3 linked regions of the Danio rerio genome follow. The protein of the gene in region 3 purifies or fractionates together with the protein of the main gene of each other region. This does not show direct contact. Links are inferred from orthologs where the notes say so. Each region holds a gene or a part of one and is shown on either strand. Other genes may lie near its edges.

Evidence for each region.
Region 1: the proteins of polr3glb (region 3) and polr3f purify together in Homo sapiens (co-immunoprecipitation; 5 studies listed by BioGRID and IntAct, counting the BioPlex papers as one, with this or other methods). This does not show direct contact. The link is inferred for Danio rerio from reciprocal best matches to the Homo sapiens genes POLR3GL and POLR3F.
Region 2: the proteins of polr3glb (region 3) and crcp purify together in Homo sapiens (co-immunoprecipitation; 3 studies listed by BioGRID and IntAct, counting the BioPlex papers as one, with this or other methods). This does not show direct contact. The link is inferred for Danio rerio from reciprocal best matches to the Homo sapiens genes POLR3GL and CRCP.

Annotation. Positions count from the first base shown.
Region 1 is NC_133197.1:25,888,457-25,892,837, forward strand, and holds the start of polr3f (DNA-directed RNA polymerase III subunit RPC6), read right to left. Parts: upstream 2,876-4,381; 5' UTR 2,674-2,875; intron 737-2,673; exon of another isoform or gene 608-736; coding exon of another isoform or gene 552-607; intron 1-551. Other genes in the region: dzank1 (double zinc ribbon and ankyrin repeat-containing protein 1), read left to right, coding at 3,191-3,299, 3,653-3,803. UniProt on the Homo sapiens protein: DNA-dependent RNA polymerase catalyzes the transcription of DNA into RNA using the four ribonucleoside triphosphates as substrates.
Region 2 is NC_133196.1:33,903,921-33,906,677, reverse strand, and holds part of crcp (DNA-directed RNA polymerase III subunit RPC9), read left to right. Parts: intron 1-665; coding exon 666-760; intron 761-1,076; coding exon 1,077-1,134; intron 1,135-2,757. UniProt on the Homo sapiens protein: DNA-dependent RNA polymerase catalyzes the transcription of DNA into RNA using the four ribonucleoside triphosphates as substrates.
Region 3 is NC_133191.1:47,264,848-47,268,982, forward strand, and holds the start of polr3glb (DNA-directed RNA polymerase III subunit RPC7-like), read left to right. Parts: upstream 1-1,259; 5' UTR 1,260-1,454; intron 1,455-1,688; 5' UTR 1,689-1,691; coding exon 1,692-1,799; intron 1,800-3,502; coding exon 3,503-3,632; intron 3,633-4,135. UniProt on the Homo sapiens protein: DNA-dependent RNA polymerase catalyzes the transcription of DNA into RNA using the four ribonucleoside triphosphates as substrates. Specific peripheric component of RNA polymerase III which synthesizes small RNAs, such as 5S rRNA and tRNAs.

The sequences.
Region 1 (4,381 bases), on a different chromosome or scaffold from region 3:
GAAAACACAGCAAACATCAGCAAACAACTACATTTCCCAGCATCCTCTGTGCTGCAAGACAGGAAACACTATCTAACAAACAAAAACGTATTGTCTTTGTGAAAAGGATGAACATGTAAAGGATGCACTTTTATTTTATCAACAAAAATACTTTAATGCATTTTGCTGACGTAATTCTGAACTAGTACTTCAAGCCAATAAACATATCGCATTAAATAGACATACATAAATGCAATGTATTGTTCTTCATCTAAAATAATACTAATAAAGAGGTTGTTTACAAACTCATACACTATTAAAACTTCGTCATTCAAAACGTACATGAAATGCAACGAAGCTCTCTAAGTTACTAAGAAAGAGATTTTGCTTCATGTTGTCAGACTTTTCGGTATCTAAACATGTACACGTGGCAAAAAAAGACAATACATTTGATGGAAACTTTAATTGCTTTTTTAAATCCATGTAACTTTACACGTTGTCCTACGGTGTTTTGTTAACGTCAACAGGCCGCATGCGCAAGAATAGTGTAACGTTAACTGCGTTCAACTCACCTATTCTCGATATCTACAGGGTCCGTTGACTCTTTTTTGACTTTAACTTCTGTCATTGTGCATCAGACTGGAGTTACTGGAGTATTAGACCTAGTGTCAACAAAACAATACATTCATAGACCCATTTAAAGCTAAGATGAAACGCCGTGTGGTATTGCAGTGTGCGAGAGGCGGGGAGAGTTTACAGGCGACTGGGTTGCCAGACAGCGAAAAATAACCCATCAGACTGCTGTCAAATAGGATCGCAACATCGGTGGCTTGTCTCTTTTTAACGGAGAATTAAGCATTTTGTTTTGTCAAACCCAATTATATTTCGGAGTTAAGACACGACTTTTAGTATTTATAACGGAAGTATTCTACATTCGTTGATAAAACACGGATATGGCAACAGAAACTGAAAGCTTCAAATCTAGACAAAAGATTTACATCGCCACCTACTGTACGGGAGTATATCTGTGACTAAAATATCCTCATGATTTAAAGAGGACCAGTGTTGGAGAAAGTTACTTCAGAAAGTAATGCTTTACAGTATTGAGTTACTCCCCAAAAAAGTAACTAGTTACATTACTTAGTTACTTTTTATGGTAGGTAATGCGTTATGTTACTTTTGCTTTACTTTTTTTGACCTATGTGAGGCTGGCTGATCTCTTGCAGACATTGCAGGTTTTTTTTCTTCTTCTTCATTTTTTAGCTCTACAGTTAACAACACACTGTATAAAATTCTTTTCCTAAAAAAAAAAAAAATCTGAATTCCTAAAAATTATGTAGGATAAAGTTATCTTCGAATCAGTTTCTGAGCCCAGAGCTATACATGGTGCATAATGAATGTTTAAAAGAATGCTTTTCCTACTTTAGTACTTTTTGTCTTGGGAGTAAAATCTATTCAAATGATACTCTTTTGCTTTTCCTCCATGTGTTCAAAGTAATGAGAATATTTCCATCGCAGAAATTTATAGCTCTGCCATCTTCATGTCTGTCTGTTCCTGCGTTCTCTCATCGAGTGTGGCATTCATTTTAATTCAGCAATTTATTTTTTTAAAGCGAATTACTTAAACTAAAAAGTAACTCACATTACACTTTTTAAAAAGTAACTAAAATTTTATTACTTAATTTCTGAAGGTAATGTGTTACTTTATTCGTTACTTAGAAAAGTAATACTATCACGGAACTCACGTTACTTGTAATGCGCATTACCTCCAACACTGTAGAAGACTCCCGTTAAAATATAATTTAGAGTTATAAATAGACCATTTCGATGTGGCAATGTCACTGACCCATGAACATTTCCTGCTCGTTGTTGAACTACTTCATAACTGTAACAAATCAATTTAATCATATATTAACTTTAAAACAGCTGCTATAACATTATTTATCAATTTGTGGTCCTTTTTTATTCTTGGAAGCTATGGAAATTCTAAATGTCATAGAGGAAATACATTAGTGCCATTGTTATTGTTTACATCCCTTGAAATGGTCTATAGTATAATACCCCAGTAAAATACACAAGACTTTTGTGACACACTAATTAATTGTACTTTTGATAATTAATTTAAGCTTTATAAAACGTATATATGCTGTACTTTCAAAATAGAATTACATTGATCTTGTTTTATGCTTTAGGTCACAATGTTTTTAATTTTTTTTACATAAATTATGCTGAATGGCGATTTGGGTGTTCTTTTACAAACATAAAGACATATGATTTAAAAAAAAAACTTTGTTTAAAATATTGCATCAAGTACGCATGTGTTAAAATTTATTTAATGAGAATACACGGGAAATTGTTTCAGGTAAAATAGACAAATAGAGAATTTGTAAAGTAAAATTGATATAAAAATCTGATCCAGTTACTGGTCCCTAGAGATTGAGCTAAAGTTGGTTTTATATTGGCACATTCATTCAGTGACAAGTTGTGACATGTTCCCTATATTGTTTATCATGGTACTTTGAATATTCAGTCACACGGCTTCAAAACAACATTAGCAATATTTATTTGACTGTGAACAATGTTGTGCTTAGATAGTCATTGGCTGCTAATATTTTATATTATAATTTGCAAAAAAAAACTAAAAAAAAGTTAAATTATTGAGGAAAGTCCGAATGTGTGAATCTAAAATTTTACCACAATTCTGTAGAGGGAGCTGGGTCAATCAAAAGCCAACCTTTTAGACCGTTTCAAGAAAATAATAAACGATTTTGAATTTTTCTAATTGTGTTTTCCATGGACGAAAATAATATGAAGTAATGGCTACAGAATTAATGTCAAGAGGAGTGAGTTACCCCTTTAAATTTGACTGTGGGAAATGAGCGCATGCGCACTAATCAGTTGCCATGGGTAACGTGACCCACCAATAGCGCAGCCAGCTGTGTGTTCAGTCTAACATTACAGCGTCTTGTACACACCGTACACATCGTGTGCTTCGAGTGTCATCGAAAAAAACACTCATTTAATATAAATATACGAAATATTTACAATTCAATTGTAAAGTGATTAGAGATACTTCAATCTACAAAAAATAGTCTGTGTAAGCTCTTATTATCCAGTAGCCTAATGCACTAATAATAGTATAACGTTAAGCATTTTATGTCATTCTAATGATATATTTTATTTTCTATATTGCAGGTTAAAGAGCACAAACATGACTGCAGGATCAGTGGCAGCACCTCAAATAATCCCCATCCGCATTCCTCCTCCAGGTAAAGCCAAGCATGAGATAGACTCCAGCACTCCTGTTGAGATCAAGTCAGGTGAGTCAGTTTAGCTCTAAAGATACAGTTCACCCCAAAATGAAAAAGCTCTCAACCTCCACTTATTCTAAGTTTTATGAATAACTTTCTTCTGTTGAACGCAAAAGAAGATATTTTGAAAAATGTTGGAAAGCATCAGCAATAGACAATCAAAATATGTTCCTTCTATGGGAGTGAATGGCTGCTGGTTTACAACATTCTTCAGAATGTCTTGTTTCATGTTTAACAGAAGAAAGACATTTATAACATTTTAGAACCGTTTGAGTAAGAGGAAATGACATTTTTGGTTGATCTCTTTAGCACAAGCCTGCGTCTTGTTGATTTTCATGTGTTTTATAATGTATATTTCCCAGAATCCCCTGATGTGAGGGTCCTGTACACGCTGGACGGCAGTAAGCCGGAGCTGACAAAGAGGCCAGGTTTTGCTGACAGCACTCTAAAGTACACTGAACCTGTTCGGTTACCTGTGGGGAAAGTGTATGTGAAAGCCATGGCCGTCTCTATGTAGGTACATTTTATGCTTTGTTTTTTATAATAATGTGTGTGTTGTTTTTAACTACAGGCACTGCTACAAGTGTTGATTTTTATTAAAACTTTGAGATTTTGTTTTGTGCTTTCCCACATCATGAAAGAATTTATATAGCAGTTTATTGTAAATACTATAGTGTTTTTGATTGTAATATAGTATTTACAACACTTTGTTAATGAATGCTACAGCATAGTGAAGTATTAACTATAGTAAACTGTAAATCTGTAATAAATACTGTATTAACTTTTGGTTTTACAACAGCAAACTGTGGAGTATTGTAGTATAATAAACCATTTAGTTGTAGAAAACCTTTATATTTAAGAAACTAGTTTGTTACTACATGTGTTGTAATACCTAAACAATTAATTGAGTTAGCGCAACAGATTAATTTAAACGTACAATAGTATGGTTTGAAAACCTTATTACTTATAATATATAATATTTGAGATCAAATTATATCACTAAAGTACTTACTATAAAAACTGCTAAAGTATTTTTTCATATTTGGTAAATTTCAATAAAACTATTCCTTTATTGTTTACTTGTTTAAAAA
Region 2 (2,757 bases), on a different chromosome or scaffold from region 3:
TTTTGCTGCTGGCACCATTGAAACCGATGTTTGGCATTTGCGTGAGTGACCAAAGGTTGGGCTATATCAGCTCGGTCATGTATATTGACCCTGTGGAGCTCCCGACAAACAGTTTTGTAGAAAGAGGATAGTTGAGGTGCACGTTTAATTCTGCAGCGAGTTGGGCAGCTGTGGTTCTATGTATTTTTGGATACAATCCAGGTTAGCACCCTGACATCCCTTTCAGACAGCTCTTGCATCCACAGTTACTACTGTTGGATGTGATTCATCCTTTTTGGTGGTATGCTAACATTACTCAGGAGACCGTGGCTCTTGATACATCACAACTTGCTGTCTTGGTCAGAGATACGCCAGCGAGACGCACACCAATTTGTCCTCTTTTGAACTCCAAAATGTCACCCATAATGTTGTGTGCATTTAAAACTTTTTAAGCAAAACCGTGCTTTTACTCTCCTAATTACACCTTCACACTCTGCTCTTACTGGTGGAATGCATAATCACCTGCCATGAAACCTCCAACACTAAATTGGCCAATGTTTTAGTTTCATTGTCCAACCCCTGTACAAATTGTCATATTGCACAGCCTTATCTCCAAAACAAGGCAAAGATTTGAGATTGTGTTGCTCAGTCATGCCCTTTAACGTCTGAAATCTCTGCCTCAACAGACCCTGAAGTACCTCTCTAAGACGCCATGTGTTCATCAGAAACCAGAGACAGTGAAGGAGTTCCTCACCGCCATGCTGCCTCACAAACTTACTAAGTACTTTTTATTTTTTCTCTTATTTTGTAAGCATGCATTTAAAACTTGTGCACTGAATCACCTCTTTGAAAGGAAAAACCTTAAAGCCTCAAACTGTGTGAAAGCCACAGTAAATACAGTGCATTGCAGTGACTTTGTAATTCTGGGTTTGAGATGCACCATTGTGAAGGTTTGTGTTGTGATGTTTCTGAAACCAGTACACGTGTGAGTTGCTGGTTTTGCACTTGACAATGAGTCTAGTGTTAGTTTATCAGATTTTTTATTTTAGCTTGTGAAAAAAGCAGCCTGTTAACTTCTTTTCTATTTCTGTTCAAAGAGCAGAGAAGCTGCAGCTCTTAAACCACAGACCTCAGACTGCTGTTGAGATCCAGCTGGTATGAGTCTTCACATCTTTTTTTCATACACTTTGTCTTTAACATCTTTGCCCATTTTTGACAATGCTAAGTATGTTCAAAATGTTAAACCCTTTAACTGCCCCACCAAGAAACAAAAATGTGTATTGCATTACCTAACTCCTAATGTCGCTAGTTAACATACTCAATGCGAATTTTTTTTTCAACACATGCCATGACGTGTCGGTTTATGGTAAAAGTACTGCAATTAATGCATATACTATGAAAAAGCTAAAACTATGAAGTGTACATTTTTGAAAACTAAATCATCTTCATTTTTAAGGTATGCCATGAAATATTTCAGATTCTCATTTAACATGTTTTTTTTGTTTTTTTTACAATAAAACCTAAATGAAGTGAAGTAGTGCAACAGGATTGTTTGTTTGATATTTTTTTTTTGTAAAAAAAAAAAAAAACATTCTTTACTTAAACAGTCAATAATATGTGGCCATTTTGTCGAGCAGGCAATTAAAGAGTTGAGAAATGATAGTGTCCCATAAATGTTTTTTTCTTCTTCAAAAATTACCTTTAACATATTGTTTAAAGTAGCTGTTTGTGAATGTAATAGATCTGCAATTTTTTAAACACATTAAACTAAGTCTATGGTTAACTATGGTCACCTTAAAGAAATAATTCAGAAATGCCAAAGTAAGCATCAGCAATGCACAGGGACTTTTTTAAATAATTATTTTGGTTGGTTTTTACCTTTTATTGAGATAGGATAGTAAAGGACAGACAGGAAACGATTGGGTTCAGACAGAGGGAAGGATCAGCATAGGACCCCTAGCTAGGAGTCGAACTCAGGTCGCTGTGAGCACTATTGTGCCATATGTTGGTATACTTAACCACTAAGCAATTGGCGCTGAATTGCACAGGGAATTTTCAATAAGCCAGCTCAAGCCCTTCCCAGCAAGCATTTTTTCATTCTAAAAGATGTCTAATAGATGTCTAAACATTGTCGTCTTGGCTAAAACAAGGCTAAATTTGGGCTGTCAGTGAAAATCTTATAGAAGTCTAAAAATAGCTCAAAACTAAACTAGTCGTCAAATAGACAGAAATGAATGACTACACATATATAGTCTGTCTATTTGACGACTAGTCTAGTTTTGAACTATTCTTAGATGTCTATTTTGTTTGCATGTTCTCCCCGTGTTCGCGTGAGTTTCCTCTTTGTGCTCCAGTTTCCCCCACAGTCCAAAGAGATGCGGTACAGGTGAATTGGGTTGGCTAAATTGTCCGTAGTGTATGGGTGTGAATGATTGTGTATGGTTGTTTCCCAGAGATGGGTAGCAGATGGAAGGGCATTTGCTGTGTAAAACATATGCTGGATAAGTTGGCAGTTCATTCCGCTGTGGCGACTAAGCCGAAAAAGAAAATGAATTAAGAGAGTTTGTGCACAACGAATTATGAAGTTTTGAGGTGTAACAAAGATTTATTTTATTTAATATTTATACAATTTATGCAAAAAAAAAGAGAAGTTTTTCCTAAGTTTTCCGAAAACATGATTATTTTACCTTCCCCATTTTCAGATAATTTCACTTGTTTTGAGGAAAAACTAATAATTTTCACCTAATTTTTCTAAAGGTGAAAACAAATACATTTTTC
Region 3 (4,135 bases):
TAATAAGGCAAGTTATTGTATAACAGTGGTTTGTTCTGTAATCCAAGGGTTCCCAAACTTTTCAGCCCATGACACCCAAAACGACAATGCCAGTGACTCGCGACTCCCAACATCCTCTGAGGTGGTTATAAGTACAGAAACCCATGTCTATTCTTTGTGGAATTAATGTATGTCAGTGCTGTTAATGTGCCAGAAAGTTTAACCTGGTGTTATAAAATCAGTCTGTTACATCTGACGCTATTGCTGTCTTTAACATAATGTAATTACCCCAGGGGTCGCAATCCAATAGAACTAGTAACTAGAAGCTACTATAGTAACTCAATACAGCAGTATATAGTGTATAAAGATGTTAAAATGTTAAATCACTATAAAGATGATTTAGATTTTTCTCTTCAGTAGGTTATGGATAAAATATGGTAATTCTTATGGTTTAATAAAAATAACTCGATTTTTGGAAATAACTAGGCGACCCCCCCCCCCTTCATTGTCGCGCGTCCCCCACTTTGAGAACCCCTGTAGACTATCAAAAAAAAAAAAAAAAAAAAAGCTTAAAAGGGCTAATAATTTTGACCCTAAAAATTTTCATTGAAAAATTCAAAACTGCTTTTATTTTAGCCAAAATAAAACAATTAAGTCTTTCTCCAGAAGAAAAAATATTATCAGACATACTGTGAAAATTTCCTTGCCCTGTTAAACATCATTTGGGAAATATTTTAAAAAGAAAAAAGAATTCTAAGGGGGGCTAATAACAATACCTCAACTGTAAACACACACACACACACACACACACGCATGCACGCGCACACACACGCACTGTGTCTGTGAGTATTATACAATAAAGCCATGAATTACAGAAATATCTATACTGTATGTACACGGACAAATATGTTTCACATATGTAATAAAGTGTTGTAACTTAGTTATAGGCTACATAAACAGTAGTTTTAATAAATAATAGCCAACATTTAAAACAGATCAAAAATGTTTATCAAAATTTGTCCTAAGTTAAAAATGTGTGTTGTTGAATAGTTTTGGAACAACTTTGATAAAGGTTTTGATCCACTTCAAATGTTGACTACAGTATAATAATCTTTAGCATGTGCATCAGCATCTCTGTGAGCAATATGCAAAACATGTAATGAATCCTTACATATTTTGTAATGATTTGTTTGTTTAGCATGATTCACTTTGAGTAGCACTGGTTAACGTTAACTGACGCGAAACGCGGAACCATAAAAGACCGCGCTCATGTTTCTGGCAGGAGTGTTTTCAGAAGCGGGCAAAAACAAACGGGCAGATGTTTGGCGGGTGATTTTATTGCTCAATTTTACATCAATAAAACCTGAAATTACATTAAAAACAACCACGTTTACTGACGGATTAACCAATAAAACCTTTGCACAATGAAACGAAGTTGAAAATAAAGAGGGATTTCGCCGCATTGAGTGAAAGAGGTGTGTTTATATGCTACAGTTCGGTCAAAACAAATAAAACGTTACATTGAAAATAAAACATTTACCAAAAGTACATTTATGTAAAAATAAATATTTTAACATGTTTGGCCTAAATGTGTCTTTTCTAGCCGAATTTAGTTGTTTGATAATGAGTAAACTTATACTGTGAATAACGGATAAACGAGTTAAATAAAGAGGATGTATGATTAATAAATGTGAAATATTTTGTCTCAGATGATGGCAGGAAGGGGCAGAGGGCAGCTCACTTTCTCTGTGGAGATAGTTGGGATCGGTAAAGGTGAAAATCTCCCTCCGTCCTGCATCCAGCCGACACCTCTGTTCCCCGTGAGTCTTCAAGACACAACAATAAAGCCTCGTTTATAAACTGTTATACGCTTGTTATACACTGCTATTATCAAGATATGAGTCAGATTCTGCATTTCATGAGCATAAACGCAGTGCTTTAATAGTTTAATGTGGATGGCGTCACGAGCTACACAGAAATTGCATTGAAAAAACGGTCCTGTTCAACATTCAGCAAACATTACATTTTAAAAGTGTCTAATATCACAACAACATATTTGTTTAAATATTTGTTTTAGAATTCAAATTGTTTTATTGTTGAACACATCATCACAGTATTCCACCTTATTTACCTTAACAGTTACATAATAAGCCACTTACACTCACCGGCCACTTTATTAGGTACACCTTACTAGTTTTGGGTTGGACCACTTTTGTCTTCAGAACTGCCTTAATCATTCGTGGCATAGATTCAAAAAGATACTGGAAATATTCCTCAGAGATTTTGGTCCATATTGACATGATATCATCAAGCAGTTTGCCCGCTAAACATCCATGATGTGAATCTCCTTTTCCACCACATCCCAAAGATGCTCTATTGGATTGTGATCTGGTGAATATTGTGGCCATTTGAGTACAGTGAACTCATTGTGATGTTAAAAAAAAAAGTCTGAGATGATTTGTGCTTTCTGACATGGCGCGTTATCCTGCTGGAAGTAAGAGTAGAAATCAGAATTATCAGCCCCCCTTTGAATTTTTTTGTTCTTTTTTATATTTTTTAAATGATGTTTAACAGGGCAAGGACATGTTCACAGTATGTCTGATAATATTGTTTCTTCTGGAAAATTAAAGCAGTTATTAATTGTTAAATACCATTTTAAGGTCAAAATTATTAGCCCCTTTAAGCAATTTTTTTTCCGATAGTCTACAAGCCATCATTATACAATAACTTGCCTAATTACCCTAACCTGCCTAGTTAACCTAATTTACCTAGTTAAGCCGTTAACTGTCACTTTAAGCTGTATAGAAGTGTCTTGAAAAATATCTAGTCAAATATTATGTGCATCATGGCAAAGATAAAATAAATCAGTTATTAGAGATGAGGTATTAAAACTATTATGTTTAGAAATGTGCTGAAAAAAATATCTTTCTGTTAAACAGAAATTGGGGAAAAAAATAAAAAAGGGGCTAATAATTCTGACTTCAACTGTATGTTTTTTTTATTTCAATTAACATTTTTATTACAGTAAAGAAAATAATTTTATTGCCATTTTAAGTGTCTGTAGATGTCTCTGCCATAAAGACAGTACATAATATTTGACTAGATATTTTTCAAAATACTAGTATTCAGCTTAAAGTGACATTTAAAGGCTTAACTACAGTAGGTTGATTGGGGTTTATTAGACAAATCATTGTATAACAATGTTTTTTTTCTGTAGCCAATCGAAGAAGAAAAATTTTCTTAATGGGGCTAATAATATTGACCTTTAAATGGATTTTATTCTAGCCGAAATAAAACAAATACGACTTTCTCCGGAAGAAAAAATGTTATCAGACATACTGTGAAAATTTTCTTGCTCTGTTGAACATTATTTAGGAAATATTTTAAAAAAGAAAAAAATCATTCTGACTTTAGCTGTATGCCCTATTAAAAGCTGATTTCTGTCTTGGCATGTGTAAATGAGTGACAGCAGGTGTTTGTGTGAGCAGCAGACAGATGTGAATGTGCTGTTTGATGTGTTCAGCCTCTGGATCAGAAGCCAGTGCCCCTGCAGGCAGGTGAGGAGGCCGAGTACATGCTGGCCCTCAAACAGGAGTTTAGGGGAGCCATGAAGACGCTCCCGTTTTACATCCGTCCAGCGGCTCCCAAGAAAGGTCAGTTCAGAGCCCAGGACTAGCTCTTTACTGACATCTTTAAAGGGCTTATATTATGCTCATTGTATCATGTCATTTTTTTTTCGAAATTACATAACATGCGATTTCTACACTTTGGCACATATGCAATCCTTTTTTTCTAATCCTGAGTCTTAATGCAATTATTGTAAATAACATTTAAAGGTGCAAATGTTTAAAGGTATGTAATTTGACACCCAGTGGTTGAACTAGGAATTACATTCCAGAATCAAAACATATGCAAGTGCAGGTTGCCAGATGACCAAGAGGAGCGAGTCTCAAGCCTAATGTAAACCGTGTTCAGTATAAAAGCAACGGCACGTGATAGAACAAATATTTTCCATATTAAAAGGAGTTTTTGTCCTAACCAACACCTCGAATTGATATGTTAGAAACGGCTTTTATTTCACACAGGCGAACAACAGGAAAACCTGACAATGATCACCTCATGTAGTTTATTCAGTGTTAAAAATGAATTTTATGTG